Elephas maximus indicus: one gene and its partner. The protein of the gene in region 1 purifies or fractionates together with the protein of each later gene. This does not show direct contact. Links are inferred from orthologs where the notes say so. Each region holds a gene or a part of one and is shown on either strand. Other genes may lie near its edges. The genes, in order: STX11 and VAMP8.

What was found.
Region 2: the proteins of STX11 (region 1) and VAMP8 purify together in Homo sapiens (co-immunoprecipitation; 3 studies listed by BioGRID and IntAct, counting the BioPlex papers as one, with this or other methods). This does not show direct contact. The link is inferred for Elephas maximus indicus from reciprocal best matches to the Homo sapiens genes STX11 and VAMP8.

The regions. Positions count from the first base shown.
Region 1 is NC_064819.1:214,680,038-214,691,857, forward strand, and holds the start of STX11 (syntaxin-11), read left to right. Parts: upstream 1-6,653; 5' UTR 6,654-6,748; exon of another isoform or gene 6,749-6,909; intron 6,910-6,994; 5' UTR 6,995-7,112; coding exon 7,113-7,176; intron 7,177-11,820. UniProt on the Homo sapiens protein: SNARE that acts to regulate protein transport between late endosomes and the trans-Golgi network.
Region 2 is NC_064835.1:49,019,179-49,029,923, reverse strand, and holds VAMP8 (vesicle-associated membrane protein 8), read left to right. Parts: upstream 1-6,005; 5' UTR 6,006-6,195; coding exon 6,196-6,198; intron 6,199-7,528; coding exon 7,529-7,687; intron 7,688-9,035; coding exon 9,036-9,179; 3' UTR 9,180-9,493; downstream 9,494-10,745. UniProt on the Homo sapiens protein: SNAREs, soluble N-ethylmaleimide-sensitive factor-attachment protein receptors, are essential proteins for fusion of cellular membranes.

The DNA of each region.
Region 1 (11,820 bases):
TTACTATTTATGTGTTAGGTCAAAATCTAGCATCTTGCTCTCTGTGTTCTATTTGTCCCATCTGTTCTTCGTTTCTTTTTTCTGCTTTCTTTTAGCTCAGTTGAGTATCTTTATGATCCTGTTTTTTTCCTCAAATGTTGGCTTGTTAGTTATAACTCTTTAATTTGCTATTTTAGTAGTTGCTTTTGGGTTTAGAGTATATCTCTTCAATTTATCAGCCTACCCTTAAAGGATATTATACTACTTCACATATGGTAAACTTCCATATCTGCCCTCCTAGACCTTGTGATATTATTGTTATACATTTTATATTAACATATTTTATAAGGCTCATACTACATTATTATTTTAAACAGTTATCTTTTTTCTATAGATAATTCCCTTTATTTATTCTTTGTTAATTTTTCTGTCATCAGATTTTTAAGTCAATATTGCATAAACAGTTATCTTTTTAAAAAATACTTTATTGTGATTTTGGAGAAAATTTACATAGCAAATTAGGTTGTCATTTAATAATTTCTGTACATATTATTCAGTGACATTGTTACACTTTTCACAATATGTCAGCATTTTTATTATTTCCATTCCGTTTGTTCTGTTTCCATTAATCTAGCTTCCTTGCCCCCTTACCTTCTCATCTTCGTTCTAGGGTAAATCTTGACCGTTGGGTGTCATTTAGATGATTGTTTAGAGAAGCACAGTACTCACAGGTGATATTATTTATTTTATGAGCCGCTCTGTCTTTTGGCTGGTAGGTAACCTCTGGGGGTGGTTGAGTTCCAAGTGTAAATGGTATCCCAGGATGATAAACTTGGGGGCTCCTCTAGTCTCTACCAGCCCAGTAAGTCTGGCCTTTTTTTAGGAATTTGAGCTTTGTCCTGCATTTTTCCCCATCTATCTGGGACTATCTATCATGTCCCTGGTCGGAATGGTCGATAGTGGTAGCCAGGCACCATCTAGTTTTTCTGGTCTCAAGGTAGGTGAGGCTGTGGTTAGTGCAGACTATTACTCCTGTAGACTAGTTTCTTCCTTGAGTCTTTGGTTTCCTTCTCGCTCTTTTGCTCCAGACGTGTAGAGACCAATAATTGTATCTTTATGAGCTATGTTACGTCAACTGACCGAGCTGTCCCCAAAGACTATCATCTTAAGCCCTCAAACTCAGTAACCCAATTCCACAAGGTGTTTGATTATGTCTAGGAAGTATCCACAACTGTGCCCCCATGTGCTGTATTTTTATATAAGAATATGCAGCACACACAAATATGTATGTACATTTGCCTACAGAAACACCTATACATGCACACCTGTATATCCGTATGTACTCACCCACAGGTAAATAAGCATACGTATCTACTTATGTAATTACTTACATATTGTTTGGTTGTTATTACTGTTGTTGCACAACTGTATATGTTGTGGCCTTTACCAAAAATGTTTCTTATTCTTGTGTATTTCTTAGTGTCATCTCTTACATTGGTCAAGTTGTGCTACACTCATCCTTGTTTGATATTGCCTTACTCAACACCAAAACTAACAAATATCTACTATCTAGAAAGTGATTCTCCCTCCCGTCCCTGGTAACCACCAAAGAACATTGCTTTCTATATGTATACCTGGAAATTCTGGTGGCGTAGTGGTTAAGAGCTATGGCTGCTAACCAAAAGGTCGGTAGTTCAAACCCACCAGGCGTTCCTTGGAAACTCTATGGGACAGTTTTACTCTGTCCTATAGGGTTGCTATGAGTTAGAACTGACTAGACAGCAGTGGGTTATGTGTTCTTGTCTTTTTATAATGGGGTCATGCAGTATTTGTCCTTTTGTTATTGACTTATCTCACTCAACATAATGACCTCCAGATTTATCCGTGTTATAGTATATTTAGAGAACAGATTGTTATTCTTTATGGCTGCATAGTATTCCATTGAGTGTATGTACCACAGTTTATCCATTCAATTGCTGATGAGCTGTTGGGTTGTTTCCATCTTTTTGCTATTGTGAATAATGCTGTGATGAACATGGATGTGCATATATCTGTTCATGTCAGTAGTTTTAGTTCTCTAATGGGTTTTTTAGGGTATATACCTAAGAGTGGGATTGCCAGATCAGAGGGTATTTCTATTTCTAGCTTTTTGAGGAAGTGCCATATCGTTTTACATGGTGGTTGAACCAATTTACAATCCCAACAGCATGGAAGCAGAGTTCTAATCTCTCTGCAACCTCTCCAGCATTTGTTGTTTTCTGATCAGTGCCACTTTTGAAGTGATGAAATCGTATCTAATTGTAATTTTGACTTGCATCTCTCTGATGGCTAATTACTGTGATTATCTTTTCATGTGTTTGCTGGCCACTTGAATATCCTCTTTGGTGAGGTGTCTGTTCATGTCCTTTGCCCGTTTTTTAATTGGATTATTTGCCTTTTCACTGTTGAGTGTTAAGGTTTTCTGTGTATTTTAGAGACTAAACCCTTATCGGATATATCATTCTAAAAGATTTTTTTTCCCAATCTGTAGCTTCTTTTTTTAGTTTTTTGTAAACGTGATGGTTAAGGTTGTATGTCAATTTGCCTGGGCAATGATTCTCAGTAGCTTGGCAGTTATGGTGTAGTTTGGCAATTATGTAATGATGTAATGAACTCCATGATGAAATCTGCTATGAGCAGCCAATCAGTTGAAAGTGAGTTTCCTTGGGGGTGTGGCCTGGCTCCAGTATATAAATGGGTGTTACAGCAAGGCTTTCATACTAGATGCTATATCCGGCTTGTCATCATCTGACTTCCAGTTCTTGGGACTTGAACTAGCAGCTTACCTGCTGATCTTGGAGTTTGTCAGCCTCCATAGCCTGTGAACCAGTGACATGCCATCTGACCTGACAATCTTGAGCTCATCAGCCCTTGTAGATACATGAGTCAGGAGAAGCCTCCAGCCTAAAGCCTGACCCATGAACTTAGGACTTGCCAGCCTCTACAACCACATGAGCCATTTCCTTGAGATAAATCTCTCTCTGCACATGTACATATATACACATATATATATACACATACACACACACACACATATATATATACCTCATGGGTTTTGCTTCTCTACAAAATCCATCCTAAGAAGATAAAATTTTTGGTGAGCATAAGTATTTAAATTTTAGGAGGTCCCAGTTATCTAACATGTCTTATGTTGCTTGTGTACTTATAGTTGTGTTTGATAATCTATTACTGAAAAAAATTAGGTCCCATAATTTTGTCCCTGTATTATCTTCCAGGAACTTTATAGTTTTGGCTTTAACATTTAGGTCTTTGATCTATTTTGAGTTAGTTTTTGTGTATGGTATTAGGTATGGATCCTGTTTCAATTTTCTGCAAATAAATATCCAGTTTGGCCAGCACCATTTGTTAAAGAGACTGCTTCTTTCCCATTGAATGGACTTTGACTCTTCATTGAAAATCAGCTGCCCATAGACAGATGGATTTATTCCTGGGTTCTCAATTCTATTTCATTGGTTTATATGTCTGTCATTGAACCAGTACCAGGCTGTTTTGTTTATTGAGGCTGTATAGTATGTTGTGAGATCAGGGAGTGTGAGGCCTCCTACTTTGTTCTTCTTCTTCAATATTGCTTTGGCTATATAGGGTCTCTTTCCTTTCTGTATAAAGTTAGTATATTTTTCCACTTCATTAAAGAATGTTTTTGGAGTTTGGATTGAGATTGTATTATATCTATAGATCACTTTGGGTAGTGGTCATGGATTGAATTGTGTCCCCCCAAAATATCTGTCAACTTGGCTAGGTCATGATTCCCAGTATTGTATGATTGTCTATCATTTTGTCATCTGATGTGATTTCCCTATGTGTTGTAAATCCTATTGCTACGATGCTAATGAGGTGGATTAGTGCCAGTTATATTGATAAGATCTATGAGATTAGATAGAGTCTAAAGCCAATCTGTTTTGAGATATAAAAAAGAGAAGTGAGCAGAGAGACATGGGGACCTCATACCACCAAGAAAGCCTGCTGGAAGCAGAGCGTGCCCTTTGGACCTGAGGTTCCTGTGCTGAGATGCTCCCAGACCAAAGGAACGCTGATGCATCACAAAGACCTTCCTCCAGACCCAAAAGAGAGGGAAAGCCTTCTCCTGGAGCTGGCACCCTGAATTTGGACTTCTAGCCTACTAGGCTGTGAGAGAATAAACTTCTCTTTGTTAAAGCCATCTTCTTGTGGTATTTCTGTTACAGCAGCACTAGATGACCAAGACAGTGGCATTAACATTTTCACAATGTTAAATTTTCCAATCCATGAGTATGCAATATTTTTCCATTTATGAAGGTCACTTTTAGTTTCTTACAGTAGTGTTTTATAGTTTTCATTGTATAGGTCTTTTACATCCCTGGCTAGATTTATTCTTAGGTATTTTATCCTTTTGAGGGGTATTGTAAACTGTATTTTTAAAATTTCCTTTTCAGGGTTCTCCTTGTTAGTGTAAAGTAACCCGACTTATTTTTATGTGTTGATCTTGTACTCTGCCACTTTGCTGAATCCTTCTATTAGATCCAGTAGTTTCTTGTGGAATCTCTGGGATTCTCCATGTAAAGAATCGTGTCATCTGCAAATAGAGAGAGTGTTACTTCTTCCTTTCCAATTTGGATCCATTTTTTCTTTTCTTGTTTTATTGCTCTGACTAGGACTTTCAGGATAATATTGAATAAAAATGGTGATAGCAAGCATCCTTGTGTTGCACCTGCTCTCAAGGGGGAGGCCAGTTAATTATCTTTTAAGGATATTTAGCAATAAGAAAAAAATTTTTTGTATATTTACCTAAGTAGTTTCCATTTCCAGTGTTCTTCCTTCCTTTGTGTAGATCCATATTTCCATCTAGTATCATTTTTCTTCTGCCTGAAGAACTTCCTTTAGCATGTGTGAGTCTGCTGGTAATGAATTCTTTCAGCATAAGTATGTCTGGGAAAATCTTTATTTCATCTTTGTTTTTGAAGGATGTATTCATTGGGTATATATATATATATATATATATATATATATATATATATATATATATATATATATATATACATAGACAGTTTTCCTTTCTTTTTTTTTCCCCCTTAGTATTTTTTCTTCTCACTTGCATTCCTTTGGTGTGAAACATTCTGTCATCCTTATCTTTTTCTTTCCGTACATAATGTGTCATTTTCCTCTGGCTGCTTTAAAGATTTCCCCTTTATCACTGATTTTGAGCAGTTTGGTTATGATATGCCTTCGAGTGGTTTAATTCATGTTTTTTGTGCTCAAGCTCATTGACCTTTTCAGATCTGTGGGTTTTACAGGTTTCCAAAATTTTTAAAATATTTTTCCCACCCCTCCCTTCCTTTGGGGTTTGCAATTACATATGTATTAGGCCATTTGAAGTTGTGCTAAAAAATTACTACAGAGTATTCCTGAATATTCTCTACTCAGTTTCTCTAATTGTTTTGCTTTTTTCTTCCTCTTTCTGTTTTTCTCTTTCTCTCTCTTTGTCTCTCTGTCTCTCTCTCCACACACACACACAGTCACATATGGACACACATATGCACACACACATTGTTTTTTCTGAGCGTTTCGAGATTCAGTTGCAAACATGATGCCCCATTATTCCTTAATGCTTGAGTATGTATTTTCTAAGAAAAAAGAACTCTTCTGTACTACTATAGGTTTGATAGAAGATAGATCACACTTCAGTATTTCAATTTATTAACACTGCATACAGTCATAAATATTCAATAAAGACAGTTTCATGAAATTAAACTCTTGTATTTTAGCATTTTATTTTAGGGACAGTTTTAAATTGATTGATTCACTAAAATCAGGGATTGATAGTTCAAAAGGAATTTATAGTTTAAAGGAAAAATTACAACAATGAGGATCAAGAAAATGAATACCTATTGTATTTAAAGTAGAGATTCACATGGTAACAAGTGAAATACAAAATACCCAATTTTACTTTTCTATTTTTAGAATAGACATTTGTGGTTTTGTTTCATCAAAGCAGTATTAAATCATTGTTTATTTTAATATTATTAATTTTATACTTAGATGGTGCAGATTGATTTGGAATTTATGCATTTTTTAAGGGCCTGTAGACATAAAGAATATATATCATGTGTATGTTTAAGTAAGGAGCCCTGGTGGCACTGTGATTAAGCCCTTGGCTGCTAACTGAAAAGTCTGCAGTTCACACCCACCAGCCACTCTGCCAGAGAAAGATGTGGTAATTTGTTTCTGTAAAGATTATAGCCTAGGAAACCCTGTATGGCAGTTCTATCCTGTCCTATAGGGTTGCTGTGAGTCCATATCCACTCAAGGGCACACAACAACAATATTGTTTATATTATATTTAAATAACATTAGAGGAGTAATAGTTTGTCATTGATCCTGGATTTCCTGTTTTTTTTTTCCTTGCAGGAAGGTCCAATCATTATTTAAGACAGAAACGTGCTATGCTAGGCCCATAGATAAAATAAGGACCTAGAAATGATTATGGCCAGTACCCACATTTGTATTGTAACCGAAGATGAATTCCAATCTGCATGGGACATCTGTGTTTTTTTGTGACTAGAGCCGTGACAAAAGTTCCTGTTTTTCATAACTCACTTTTGCCTATTACCAACCTGTAGAAAATAAAGTTTAAAGAAGTCAGCTGGAGCTGCCTGCTTTCAACACCCAAAGCTAGTGATGCAAGGCCGTGTCAGCCCAAAGATTCCTCCTGACACTTGGGCACCCCAGTAAGGTAAGATGCTGCAGACCGAAAGGAGCTTCTGCCAGGCTCTCCAACGAGTCCTCACCAAGATCATCATCACATGGTGCAGATATCGTCAAACACACAATTTGCCTTTTGAATTTGTGTGTTCACTCTGCAGAGTTCAACCTGTTTTCACTATACCAAATTTCGTAAGTTTGTCTTAAACACCCATTCATCGTTTTAAACACTTTTTTTTTTTGTGGTACCAATATTGTCCTTTTTAATTTTCTTTAGAGTCGCAGAAGGATGCTGGCTGTTGTCTATGAACACACAGAAATTATAAATCATCTGTGACAGAGGAAACAGTTCGTCTGAAGAGGATACCAAAGGAAAAACTAAGAGAAACAAAAACATGGAGCTGCAGCAAATGGATGAAGAAGAGGAAAAAGAGAAGACCACCAGGTCTCAGCCCGAAAGTAAGACTTTTTGGTATAGCACTATATAGTTTCTAAATGGATCACACAAATTCATCTAAATGAACAAAATATGAATGTAAAAACGTTAAGTCTTTTTGTAAGAATCATACTTGTTGAGAACTAATTTAATTATTCAAATTAAAAACTAATATCTAGAGGCTTCTGCCTAAAATATTACGTATAAAAACCTTGGCTTACTTGTTATACTCTGTTTATGCTTTTCTGTTTCGCTTTTCTCAATTCCTCAGGACAGGGCAATGGTGCAAAAAGGGTTTACCAGAAATGAGTATTGAGCAACAGTCTCATCTTAAAATACTTTTGCAACTCGTTATGCAAAATCACTGTTGCAGAAAAATTGAGTTCCATTAAGCGCTATTCAGCAGACCAGTTATACCGTCTCTCTACCAGACTTTTTAAACCCATTCCTTTTCACAGGGAAGTTTTGTTCTCTTTGTATGCATACAGCAACCAATACATGCTAAACTGAAGTCCCTTACAACAAGTATGCAAATGTATTAGAAGAAAGTTTTCACTTAATTGAAGTTTGGGTTAAAATTAAAATACAACAATGCCATTTTAGGAATTGCAGGTGTCTTATTTACCTAGTGCTGCTATAACAAAAAATACCACAGGTGGAAGGCTTTAACAAAGAGAAATTTATTCTCTCACAGTCTAGGGAGTTAGAAGTCCAAATTCAGGGCACCAGCTCCAGGGAAGGCTTTCTCTCTCTGTTGGCTCTGAGGGAAGGTCCTTGTCATCAATCTTCCCTGGTCAAGGAGCTTCTTAGCACAGGGACCCCAGGTCCAAGGGAAGCGCTATGTTCTTGGTGCTTCTAACTTGGTGGTATGAGGTCCCCCTGTCTCTAGGCTTGCTTCTCTCTTTTATATCTCAAAAGAGATTGGCTTAAAACACAATCTAGTCTTGTAGATTGAGTCCTGCCTCATTAACATAACTGCCGCTAATCCCATGTCATTAACATCATAGAGATAGGATTTACAACACATAGGAAAATCACATCAGATGACAAAATGGTGGACAATCCCACAATACTGGGAGTCATGGCCCAGCCAAGTTTACAGATATTTGGGGGGCACACAATTCAATCCATGACAGTAGGCAAGGATAAAATTTTACTAATACCAAAATAATACAATTTCCACTACTTGTTTTCTACTCCTCCTTGTGTACCATGCACAGAAAAATAAATAAGCTTACTAAACAAAAAGGAACTTGCTTTTCTATGAGTTACCCATTGTGCCCTTTTCTTTTTAAAGTAATTTTTCTAATTTTACTTAGATTTTGAATGCAAGCAAAAAAGTCATTTGCTTTGGAGAGTCATTTTTTAAAAGGAAAAGAGCTTTGGGTCTTCTGTGGTCTTTGATAGTGCACTTGGATTCTTTATTTTTTAGTGGTTAAGGATTTGCATTTTGTGTTGGACACTAGGATTTGAATCTAGGTTCTTCTACTTACTGGTGCTGGGACTGTGGATAGGAGACTTGAAGTCTTATTTTCCCCCTTTGTCAAATGGGGTTGAGTAGGGCACATCTAATAAATTTGTGATGAGAATTATACGAAATTATATATGAAAATGTTAGCACAGTGCTTGGCAATTGTAACTGCAACAGCAAGTATTGGTTATCTTTAATATTGGTATTAGTATTATCCTATGAGTCGGAATCGACTCGGCGGCACTGGGTTTTTTTTTTTAGTAGTATTATGGGATTTCCCTTTTTTAATAATCTGGAGCTGGCTGATTATTTTATGTTTGAATCTTGAGCTTCAAGGTTTAGAATCTGTATTCTCTGGTAAGGCTGTGTGTGTTGAGTACTGATGGATTTTTTGCAGTACCGAAATACAGCCTTCCTCACATATCTAGAAACAACTTAGAACTTCTAAGATGTAGAAACATTTAAAACCTTAAAAATAAACCTATCACCTTACAAATTCTCATTTACATATTTCTATAAATTACGTGTTATATAAAGAAGCTATAAAAGATTCACCTGTGAATCTGAGGATATTTCTTTAGTCTGAGTGTACTGGAGAAAAATTTATATTATGTCACATACTGTATGTTTTCTTCATAAAGCTAATCAGTGAATTGAACAGTAATATGATAATACATATCACCAGGGGCTATTTTTGTAAGGACTGTAGGTACAGAATTTCTGAAGCTGGCATTTGAGGGCTATGATCTAGCTGCTAATTAAGGATGGCATATCAGTTACGGTCCCAACAGGAAACAGATGATACATTCAAATTAACCACCCACTGCCCTTGAGTCGATTCCGACTCATAGCAACCCTATAGGACAGGGTAGAACTGCGCCATAGAGTTTCCAAGGAGCACCTGGCAGATTTGAACTGCCGACCTCTTGGTTAGCAGCCATAGCACTTAACCACTACACCACCAGGGTTTCCACATTCAAATTAGAATAACTCAAAACCAAAACCAAACCCACTGCCATTGAGTCGATTCCGACTCACAGCGACCCTATAGGACAGAGTAGAACTGCACCATAGAGTTTCCAAGGAGCACCTAGTGGATTTGAATTGCCAACCACTTGGTTAGCAGCCACAGCACTTAACCACTACACTACCAGCCTTCCCAGGATAACTCAAGGAAGACTTATTTGTAAGAGGGCTTTTACAAACGCCATCACTTATCTGTCAGTTTATTGTACTGTGGTAGCTTATGTGTTGCTATGATGCTGGAAGCTATGCCACTGGTATTTCAAACACTAGAAGGGTCACCATGGTAGATAGGTTTTAGCAGAGCTTCTGGACTAAGACAGACTAAAAAGAAAGGCCTGGTAATCTACTTCCAAAAATTAGCCAATAAAAACCTTATGGATTACAACAGAACATTGTCCAACTCACTTGCTTTGGAGACATCATCAGGAAAGATCAATTGCTGGAGAAGGACATCATGTTTGGTGAAAGAGAGGACTAGAGAAGGTAAGGGACAATGTCTTAGTCATCCAGTGCTGCTACAACAGAAATAACACAAGTGAATGGTTTTAACAAACAGAAATTTTTTCTTTCACAATCTAGTATGCTAAAAGTTTGAATTCAGCATACCACCTCCAGGGGAAGACTTTCTCTCTCTGTTGGCTCTGGAAAAAGGTCCTTGTTATCAGCCTTCCCTTGGTTGGGGAGCTTCTTAGTGCAGGGACCTTAGGTCCAAAGGAAGCTCTATGCTCCCAGTGCTACTTTCTTGGTGGTATGAGGTCCCCATGTCTCTCTGCTTGCTTCTCTCTTTTGTATCCCAAAAGAGATTGGTTTAAGACACAATTTAATCTTGTAGATTGAGCCCTGCCTCATTGACATAACTGCCAATAATCCCATGTCATAAACATCAGAGATAGGATTTACAACACTTAGGAAAGTCACATTAGATGAGAAAATGACGGACGATCACACAATACTAAGATAGCCTAGCCAAATTGATACACATATTTTGGGGTGACACAATTCCATCCATGACAGAGACTCTTGGTAAGATGTTTTGGCACAGTAGCCACAACAATGGACTTGAACATGCTGGCGATAGTGAGGATGATGCACGTTGGGGCAATGTTTCCTTCTTTTGTACATAAAGTTGCAGTGAGTCAGATTCAACTCGATGCAGATATCTATGTATCTGTCTATCTATCTACCTATATGTCTGTCTCTATTACGAAGGTGTGGGCAGAGTGTCAAGGAACAGTAATATCATCCTGAGAATCATTAGTAGGGAGAAGTACCTGGAACCAGGAAGGAGAGAGAGTCATGTAGAGCAGTTTAGAATAAATTCACTGACCTCAACCCCTGTTTCTGCTCTCCTGCTAGGGTTCCTCATTGGTTAAGCCCAAGGGAAGCCACAGAGCACAGGAGTCTGTTAGGCTAATTCTCTCAGATCAGCAGGCCCAGGGCAGACAGCAGGGTGGAGGGAGGTGGAAAGCAATCTGGACGAACAAAGAAAAGACATCTGGCATATATGTTAATACTATAAAAATCTAGAATTTATTTTTTCTTGTTACTCTATTCATTGGTTGCAAATGTTTATAAAACAGAATTGTAGCTTTATACACACACAGTAGACAAGATTCTTCCAGGAATTTAGTTTAAAGCTACATTTTGAGCAATGGTGGAAAGAACATACGTAACTTAAAATCTTTGTTTTATAAAAATAAATTTTTTTTTAACTATATTGGAAGTATATGCATATTTCTAAGTCTTGTTATGCCTGGATGCCTCTCTTATAATGCCACCTCAGAACCCTGAGATCCTCCAAATTCAGTTCAGCAGTTACTTTGATCATTCATTCACTCTTCATTCAACAAACATTTAAGGGAGGTCTCCAATGTGCTAGGTACTGTGCTAGGCTTTGAGTAAAAGTAGTAAGTGGAAATAAAAACAATCTCTGCCTTTTTCAAGCTTACTTTTTAGTAGATTTGTGTTTTGAAATGTTTAGAGAAAGATCTAAATAGTTATATAAGTCTGGTTCATAAAGGTAATCATCAAGAGCAACAGAACCACATGGCCATTAATTGTCCAAATACAACATTTAAACATGAAAATTGGAGACCTTGCTGAGGAGTCATTTATGTGTGAAATAGCCACAAACTTTTTTTTTTGTTGTTGTTGTTGTTGTGTTAGGTTC
Region 2 (10,745 bases), on another chromosome or scaffold:
CCTCAGATGCATGTGAAAGCTGGGCAATGAATAAGGAATACAGAAGAGGAATTGATGCATCTGAATTATGGTGTTGGTGAAGAATATTGAATATACCACGGACTGCCAAAAGAACGAACAAATCTGCCTTGGAAGAAGTATAGCCAGAATGGTTCTTAAAAGCAAGGATGGCGAGACTTTGTCTCATGTACTTTGGACATGTTATCAGGAGGGACCAGTCCCTAGAGAAGGACATTATGCTTGGTAAAGTAGGGAGTCAGAGAAAAGAGGAAGACCCTCAATGAGATGGATTGACACAGTGGCTGCAACAATGGGCTCAAGCATAACAACAAATGTGAGGATGGCGCAGGACTGAGCACTATATTGTTCTGTTGTACATGGGATTGCTATGAGTCAGAACTATTGAGTCAGTACATTATAACACAAATGTAATTTGGTGTGACTTGGAGGCAGGGAGGAGAGTCTCATTAGACTCTGAGTGTCTCACCTTTTGTGGGTATTCTCAAGGTAGTCTTCTGACAAAGGGTAACCGTGTAGTGTTTGCACAGGTGAGGCCAGCCTGCAAGGATGTGCATGGTGAAGGTAAGGGTGAACAGGTTGGCAGGCCCAACTGTGGGCATTTTGGATGTTCCCTCCTGATGGTTGCTGGGGTGAGGCCAGGGTCAGCTCCCTCAGGGACACCCACATGTGTCCAAGGCTTGCTGTGGCATGCCAGAACCCAGTAACTCCTCAAATATTGTAACTCTCACCCTGATCCTGGGAATCCTCTTCCAATTTTTGCAGTTCCTCTCAGGCATCCCACTCTGGCCTTCTATTTCTTGGCACCTCTCATGTTTCTCCATCCACCACCTCACTTGTTAGGTGCAATCAAGTTGGTTCCAACTCACACCAACCCTATATACAAAAGAACAAAACACCACTGACCAGTCCTGTGCCATCCCCACAATTGTTGCCATGCTTAAGCCTGTCGTTGCAGCCACTGTGTTAATCCATCTCACTGTGAGTCTTCCTGTTTTTCGCTGACCCTCTACTTTACTGACCATGATGTCCTTCTTCAGGGACTGATCCCTCCTGACAACATGTCCAAAGTATGTGAGACGTAGTCTCACTGTCCTTACTTTTAAGGAGCATTTTGGTTGTACTTCTTCCAAGACAGATTTGTTCCTTCTTTTGGCAGTGCATGATATATTCAATATTCCCCAACACCACAATTCAAAGGTGTCAATTCTTCGGTCTTCTTTATTCACCGTCCAGCTTTCACATGCATAGGAGGTGATTGAAAACACCATGGCTTGGGTAAGGTGCACCTTAGTCTTCAAGGTGACATCTTTGCTTTTCAACACTTGAAAGAGTTCTTTTGCAGCAGATTTGCCCAATGCAATGTGTCTTTTGATTTTTTGACTGCAGCTTCTATGGGTGTTGATTGTGGATCCAAGTAAAATGAAATCCTTGACAACTTCAATCTTTTCCCTGTTTATCATGATGTTGCTTATTGGTCCAGTTGTGAGGATTTCTGTTTTATGTTGAGGTGTAACCCATACTGAAGGCTATGTGTGGTCGTTGATCTTCATCAGTAAGTGCTTCAAGTCCTCTTCACTTTCAGCGAGAAAGGTTGTGTCATCAGCATAACACAGGTTGTTAATGAGTCTTCATCCAATTCTGATGCCCTGTTCTTCTTCATATGGTCCAGCTTCTCAGATTATTTGCTCAGCATACAGATTGAATAGATATGGTGAAAGGGCACAACCCTGATGCACACCTTTCCTGACTTTAAACCACTCAGTATCCCCTTGTTCTGTTCAAACGACTGCTTCTTGATCTATGTACAGTTTTGTCATGAGCACAATTAAGTGTTCGGGAATTTCCATTCTTCGCAATGTCATCTATGATTTGTTATGATCTACACAGTTGAATGCCTTTGTGTAGTCAGTAAAACACAGGTAAACATCTTTCTGGTATTCTCTGCTTTCAGCCAGGATCCATCTGACATCAACAATGATATCCCTGGTTCTGTGTCCTCTTCTGAATCTGGCTTGAATTTCTGGCAGTTCCCTGTCAATATACTGCTACAACCGATTTTGAGTGATCTTCAACAAAATTTTACTTGTGTGTGGTATTAATGATATTGTTTGATAATTTCCACATTCGGTGGGATTACCTTTCTTGGGAATAGGCAAAAATATAAACCTCTTCCAGCCAGTTGGCATAGACTAGTGAGTACTTCCAGCGCTGCATCTGCTTGTTGAAACATCGCAGTTGGTATTCTGTCAGTTCCTGGAGCCTTTTTTTTTTTGCAGATGCCTTCAGTGCAGCTTGGACTTCTTCCTTCAGTACCATTGGTTCCTGTACCTCCTGAAATGGTTGGACATCGACCAATTCTTTTTGGTACAGTGACTCTGTGTATTCCTTCCATCTTCTTCTGATGCTTCTTGACTCATTTAATATTTTCCCCATAGAATCCTTCAGTATTGCAACTCGAGGGTTAAATTTGTTCTTCTGTTCTTTCAGGTTGAGAAATGCTGAGTGTGTTCTTCCCTTTTGGTTTTCCACCTCCAGACCTTTGCACATGTCATGATAATACTTTACTTTGTCTTCTCTAGCCACCCTTTGAAATCTTCGGTTCAGCTCTTTTACATCATCATTTCTTCCTTTCACTTTAGCTACTTAATGTTCAGGAGCGAGTTTCAGAGTCTCTTTTGACATCCGTTTTGGAATTTTTTTTCTATCCAGTCTTTTTAATGACCTCTTGCTTTCTTCGTGTATGATGTCGTTGATGTCCTTGCACAACTCGTCTGGTCTTCAGTCATTAGTGTTGCCAGCGCATCAAACCTTTTCTTGAGATGGTCTCTAAATTCATGTGGGATATACTCAAGGTCATACTTTGGCTCTCGTGAACTTATTCTAATTTTCTTCAATTTCAGCTTGAACCTGTATATGGGCAATTGGTGGCCTCTTCTGAAGTAGGCCCCTGGCCTTGTTCTGACTGATGATGCTGAGTTTTTCCATTGTCTCTTCCCACAGATGTAGTCCATTTGATTCCTGTGTATTCCATCTGGCAAGGTCTACATGTATAGTCACATTTATGTTGGTGAAAAAAGGTACTTGCAATGAAGAAGTTGTTGGTCTTGCAAAATTCTATCATGCAATCTCTGGCATCGTTTCTATCACCAAGGCCGTATTTTCCAACTGCCCACCCTTCTTCATCTCCAACTTTCACGTTCCAGTCTCTGGTAATTATCAATGCATCCTAATTGCATGTTCGATCAATTTCAGACTGCAGCAGCTGATAAAAATCTTCAATTTATTCATCTTTGGCTTTAGTGATTGGTGCGTAAATTTGAATAATAGTCGTATTAACTGGTCTTCCTTGTAGGTGTATGGATATTATCCTATCACTTACAGCATTATACTTAAGGATAGATCTTGAAATGTTCTTTTTGTTGATGAATGCAATGCCCTTCCTCTTCAAGTTGTTATTTCCAGCACCCACCTCACTTAGCAGCTAGAATTCTTAATAACAGTAATCATGATAGCTAACATTCACTGCGGGTTTTTATGTGCCAAGAGGTGCTATGTAAGTTGTCTAAATACACATAAATATTAAGGTGTAGATCAGTGTGTCCAATAGAAATACAATTTGAGCCACATTTGTAATTTAAAATTTTCTACTTAGCCAAATTAAAAAGGGGGGAAAAAAGCAGATGAAATTAATTCCATTAATATCTTTTATTTTAACTCAATATATCCAAAATATCCAACACATCATCAATACATAAAATCATTAAGGAGATACTTACATTCTTTTTTCTACAGAGTCTTTGAAATCTGGTGTGTATTTTACACTTAGAAAAAAACGTTTTTTTTTTTTTTTACACTTAGAGTACACCTCAATTCAGACTAGCCACATTGCAAATTCTAACAGCCACATGGGGCTAGGCTAGTGGCTGCTGTATTGGACAGCACAAATATAGCCCCAGGATGAAATCCGTCTCCACCTGGCCGTACTAGCAACTTTTCTAAGGATGGTGAGGTGTAGGGCAGTCACATTCTCTGTGAAATCAGCTGTTATACCCCTGCTTATAGGGCTGATTGTCCTGTCTACCAAAATTCAGGTCTGAACCTTGAACCAAAACCATCCCCTTATGTCACCTTTTAATGAAATAACAGATTGGCACACAAAATAAGGGATATTCTCTGTGAGTACACTTCTCCATTAAAAAAAATCATCTATATGAGACCAAAGGGTCAATGATTACTCTAAAGCAAAGATGAGAAGACAAGGGGGCAGGAAAAATAGAATGCTGGAAACAGAGCAACCAAAAGGCAGTTAAAGAGAATGTTGACACATTGTGAAAAATGTAACTAATGTCACTGAATAATTTGTATAGAAATTGTTAAGTGGGAACCTAATTCGTTATGTGAACTTTCACCAAAAACACAATAAAATATTATTTAAAAAAATCTCAGGTGTCCATAATCTAATAATCTAATTGAGATTAAAACCTTATAAATTGGAAGGAACGTATCTCAGAGTGCTACCAAAAAAATCCCATTGGCCTTGAGTCAGTTCCAACTCATGGCAACCCCATGTGTGCCGAGTAGAACTGCCCTCCATCGGATTTTTAAGGCTGTGACTTTTTGGAAGCAGATCACCAGGCCTTTTTTCCAAGACCACCAACCTTTCAGTTAGGAGTCAAGAACTCAGCTGCTTACACCACCCAGGAATCCAAAGTGGTACCAAACCCACTGCCGTGGAGTCGATTCCTACTCATAAACCAACTCACAGAGAAAAACTGCCCCGTAGGGTTTCCAAGGAACAGCTGGTGGATTCAAACTGCTGAACTTTTGGTTAACAGCCATAGCTCTTAACCACTGTGCCACCAGGGGTCCTCAAAGTGATACAGTAGTCCAAAACTTCTTAAAGCCTTTTTTTAACAAATGTATTTTTTGGAGGAGCTGACATTTACCTCTCGGAACTGTTACCTCCTGTGATGGGTTAGGCATGTTTCTTCCCTTCTGCATGTCCCTGTTGTTGTTGTTCTGTCTTCTTGATAAAGACTATCTGGGAGGGGTGGATTTTCCCTGGCCTGGAGCCAGATTGATGGAAGAATCCTTCACCCTGGTACCCTCTCTGGCTATTGGGCAGTCCTCTGACCAGGCTTGCCAGCCCTCATGGGGCCCCTGAAGGGAAATGCAGGACTGCTGACCTTTGGAAGGAAGGAGGGTGGTGAGCCATCACTCCCTGGTACTTTCTGGCACCGTACAGGCCCTGAGCTAGGCACTTTGCTGGTGCTGTCTCTTTATCCCTCAACAGCACTGGCTGGGGTCAGTATTGTTCTTAGTTGCCATTGAGTTATCTCGACTCATAGTGACCCCATGTGACAGAGTAGAACTGCCCCATAGGGTTTTCTAGGCTGTAATCTTTACCAGGGTCGAAGGCAATGGGTATATGTAATCTTCACCAAGGAGCCCTGGTGGTGCAATGGTTGAGAGCTCTGGTGCTAACCAGAAGGGTGGCAGTTCCAATCCACCAGCTACTCCTCGGAAACCCCTTTGGTTAGCAGCTGAGCTCTTAGCCACTACACCACCAGGGCTCCAGTGTTAGCATCTGCAAAACTGAGAGGTGAAGGGTCAAGCAGGGTCATGGGGCTAGTAAACTGACACAGCTGGGACTTAAACCTTCCTGACGTCAGAGCCCAGGGTCACAGCATTCCAGACATCGCGGGAGTTAATGCTTTCGGCCCACCCACGGACCTGGGAAAAGGGGTTTTCCAGCAAGGAATTTCTGTATCTGCATTCTATTCCTAAGTGAACCAGGCCTCGCAGGTGCTATGATTGATTTCGGTCTCAGGTATTCAGAGCAGAAAAAGGAGACGGCTGCAGTTTCTAGGTCACAAGGCCCAACCTCAGGAAACTTAGAGGGCTGTTCCACAGTTCTTTTCTCCCTCCCGACGAGTTTGCAGACCTTTGCCGCCGGGGAGCCCTGTTGCTTAAGTCCAGACCCTGGTTTGGGAGGGCAGTGCAGGGCGCCCGCCTACCTGCGGGGACCTGCGCTAGGTGTGGCTGGAGCGGCCCGGGATGCGAGTGGGCGGGGGCAAGCTGAAAGTTGGAGTAAGCAGGAAGTGAACCGAGGGCTCCCGCGGGAGGAAGCCTACTAGGCGAGCTCGGCTGCCGGCAGGCCTTGTGCTCGGAGACATGGTGAGCGAACGGGGCGAGGAAGGGGCTGACTTAACCGGGACCGAGGAGCTCGGGCCGGGGGCTGTAGGTGCTGGAAGTTGCTGGCGGAGTCCGAGGGCTGGGCCAGCGCTGCCTGTGGCCCGTATTCTTTGACAGCTTGGCCGCAAATGGCTCGGAGCCGCCGGGCGCCTGTTCCCTCTTCTGCCCTCCCCTGACCTCCGTGCCGGCCCGAGCCGTGTGGGGGTCCGAATTCCGGGACTAGAACTGCCTGCCAACAAGTCTCCTCCTCCAGCCGGCCCGGGTGTCGTGGCGCTCCCTACAGGGTAGAGCCTCTGCTGTTTCCAGCTTAAATTCCAGCCAGCGGCAGGCTCTCTACCCCTGCCTTTCACTTTTACTCCTACACAAAACTCTGAAGGATTGGGCTGCCCACCGGGCCTCAGGAACTGCCCCCCTGTCGGTAAACTGGAGACTTAAGGGTTTGTAAAAGAATCAGAACTTGGTTGTCTGTGGTCTAGTGTTGGCCCATACCCCTGGCCTGTTTCAGGAGGCTCGGTGGGCCTAGCAGGCAGGAGTTTAATAATGTTTTTTCCCCTCCCTGTTCAAAAACCTTATCGTCAAACCTGGAGGAGGCACCAGCCAGGGAGGGCTTGTCTGGCATTTCACCCAACAGCGAACCTGGTATTTCAGTTTAATATCTGCATAAGCAGGCAGCAGCTTGGGGCCTGGGAATAGTGCTAAGTGGTGGGGAAAGCAGAAGTTTGCGGCTCAACGGCCTGGGTACCTCGTGGGGGACTTGGACTCAGGCTGCTCAGTGCTCTGGGTCCCAGCAATGGAACTATGGCTAGGCTGCCCAGGAGGGCCAGGAGCCTAGCAGCGCTCCAGCTTCGGGGCTGGAGAGAGGGCTGGCTGGGCTGGGCAGAGCAGCCACTTTTAAGGGGGTGGGGGCGGGAGGCTGTGGAATCAGGGGAAGGCAGGGATGCCTCTGGGAGCTTGTAAACAGTGGTGGGCTCTGCACTGGTGGGGAAAGGACGCCATGGATGTCAGCTCCACCATCTTCTGTGCCTCTCAGAGGGGCCAGGAGCAGCAGAGAGGGGCTTAGTAGTGTGCTGCTTTTCCTTATCAGGAGCCCTGAGAAGCCAGACATGAATTTGCTTTAGTCTGTCTAGATCTCACTTTCTGGGGCTAAAGAATACATTTACTTTTGATTATACAAGTAATACACAAAAAATTCTCTTTGCAACCAATTCAGGCATTACAAAAAGCTAAAGGCCCCCTTCCCCTCCTCTGGCCTTTGAGACAGGCTTTCAGTTCCTCCACCACTGGGCCTCATTAACCCTGTGTTGCTGCCCAGGAGGAGGCCAGTGGAGGCTCAGGAAATGACCGGGTGCGGAACCTGCAGAGTGAGGTGGAAGGAGTCAAGAATATTATGACCCAGAATGTGGAGCGGATCCTGGCCCGAGGAGAAAACTTGGACCATCTCCGGAACAAGACAGAGGACCTGGAAGCCACAGTGAGATGGGGAGCCCGCCGAGGCTGGAGGGAGAGAGGGAGGGTTGTGTGTTGGGGGCAAGGCAAGTATTTATTTGTGGGCCAAAAAAGAACAGGAGAGACAGAAGTTTGCAATTTGCCATTTCTATGCCTTTCTACGTTTTGGGAGTTGGTGTGAGCTGAGTCCCTGCTCTGATCTTCCACTTCTACACTGAGTGGTACTGGGGCCCAAGGCATGGGATCAACGATCAGGGATTGGGGGGCTGATGCTTGAGGCATTTTCTGAGACAGATGGATGGCTCAGTCAGACCATGCACTCTTAGGCTTCCCTCCTATAAAACCGGTTTTCCCTTTAAAGGATGCCCTTGACAATTATTTAAGATTTGACCTCTCCAGGACAAAACTATTAAGTCTGGGAAATCCTACTAGGGGCCTTTGCCTTCTCCAGGAGTTAGCAGGCAGGGGGTGGAAACTGCTGGAATCTTGCTGAGTCAGCTTTAAAGAGGAGCTGGAAGGGGAGTGAAATTCTTTGATCCTGGGGTCCTCTGCCAGCTGAAGGCTAGAATAATATTTCCCACACATCTTGCTAGGCCTCCTTCTTCTCTCTCCACCCAGGGGCCGGGGCCAGATGCTCAGGAAGGGAGTATCTCCAAGTTCAGCAAAGGCTGGAGCCTCAGGTTCCATATTCAGCCAGGAGAGACGAGCTCTGGCTTTCTGAGTCCTGTGGTTAATCTTGAGTATAGCTCCTTGGAGTCCCGGGGACTTACTTTTTCTTTCTGCCACCCAGTCTGGGGAGAATGGCCCAGGGAAACTTAGTTTCTGCAACTGAAGTTGGGGGAAGAGGTATGGTTTTCCTCACTCCCAACACCAACACCAGCCCCACTACCCAGAATGCCCCAGGTCTGTCCTCCAGCTTCCGCAGCCCCCACAGGTAAAGGAGTCATGGAGCCAGGGAGATGCCTGCGCCTCCCCCAGGGTCTGCCTTCCCAAAGCGTTTTTCCCCTGGGTAGAGCATGTGTGTACAAGGCCCCTCCACGTGTGTGACAGTGCCAAGGGTAGAAGAGAAGATGGCAGGTTGGGAGCCAGGGCCCCTGCCACGTTTAGGTAGAGAACTCTCTGGAGCCTAAGAATTCTAAATTTGAACGTGGTCTGCCAGGTGGTTCTGATGATACATTTGTCAAGGTAGGAAGCTAGAACTTTTTTTTTTTTTTTTTAATTTCACAGTTTGTTATCTCAGCTTATAGCTGAAATATTTAGATGTATGGCATGAATTTTTTTTTTTTTTTTTTTTTTTTTTTTTTATGGCATGTGAACCTCCACCCCGAGGGGAAGGAGGCACTGGGTCACTTACTGTCTCTTATCCCCGACAGTCCGAGCACTTCAAGACAACATCACAGAAAGTGGCCCGGAAGTTCTGGTGGAAGAATGTGAAGATGATAGTCCTCATCTGTGTGGTTGTCTTCATCATCATCCTCTTCATCGTGCTCTTTGCCACTGGTGCCATTCCTGTTTAGAGAGTCCCCTCCCACCCTGCCCTCTGGGGCAACCCTCCATAGTTGATGGCAAGGGGGCCCTCTCTCCCGCCCTCCTCCACAGGCAATGCTGCTGGGTCCAGGCCTCCGGCTCCTTGCCTGAGGTCCCTCTGTACATTGCCTACCCCAGGGAGCACCTTGGTCCACTGGAAGGAGAGAGCTGGACTGTGGCTGCATTTCATGGGTCCTCAGAGTGGGTTGGAGAGACTCGGGGCCCAGTATGTGGCTGGGAAACTCTTGGTGGCCTGAGGGTAATAAAGACTTTTCAGTATCCCTACGTGCGTGCACGTGTGTGAGGCACTTTCTCCTTTCCATTTTGCCTTTGACTCTCCTGTTTCTATTCTTCCTGAAAACAGTCTCTGGCTGAGGTCCTCTGACTTGAGACCCAAGTTGTTGGAGAGGTGGAGAGCTTATGTTTGGAGGAGAAAAATGGAGCCTGCCTGTATTTCTTTATTCCTTCTTGGTCCTAACCCATTCATTGTCACAGGTCTCAAGAGCAAGAGTTTTCTGGGGGTCTTGGCATAAAGCAAAACCTTCACAGCATTTTAGTGTGGTGTGTAAGACTCCTATGTATCCCCCTTAGACCCTGCCGTGTCCCTTTACTCCTTGTCTGCTGGAAGTGTTAGCCAAACATGAAGCCTCCCTGATAGCAGTTAGGAATCTGGTGTAGGCCTCTTGCCTCTCCCATCACTGACCCTTTTGCAGTCTAGAACTGGGGGTTAAAGGAGCTGGACTGCTTTTTCTTTTCTTCTGCAAGCTCTTGTCTGTTGCCTGCCCTGCCCTTCTGAGACTTAGCAGGGCCCCTGGGTCTCAGCTGTCCTGAGGGGGCAAGCGTCTCTTCCCCACGTCCCATGGCTGGGCACAGTCAGTGTCACAGGACAGGGCCTGTGGCCCTCCTTCCTGTCCATGCACAATGGGCTTCTGTGTCTTCAGGCCTGCCTCCTCCCCACCAGGTTCCACCGTCATTGCCACTCTTTCTAGTGCCCAGTCTGGTTTGTTTTGGGGGGAGGAGCCTTGCCATCTGTGCCCCTATTCCCCTAGTCATGGGTTTTCCAGAATTGGAAACATATTTTGCAAAGGAAGTAGGGAAGGGGCAGGGTTGGGAGGCTGGATTTGGGACTAGTACTCGTACATCAGGAGCCCTGGTGGCACAGTGGTTAAGCATTCAACTGCTAAGCAGGAGGTTGGCAGTTCAAATCCACCAGCAGCTCCTTGGAAGTCCTCTGGGGCAGTTCTACTCTGTCCTATAGGGTTGCTATGAGTAGGAATCGACTTGATGGCAATGGAGGTTTTTTGGGTACTTGTAAATCAGGTCCTAGAATCATGTTTTCTCCGGGGAGAGAGAAGGAACCACAGAAGAGACCCTGGGGCAGTCTTTGCCACAACCATGTCCATATTCTTTCCTCAGGCCACTCCTGAATTTGAGGTCCAAGGAACTGAGATGAACTCTATATGTTCAGTCCTGGGGCGGGGGGTGTCCTGGAGGGGTGAGGGTGAAACCTTCTTGGTGTAGGGCTTGTGTTCACAAGATCAGCCCCAAGAGGGAAG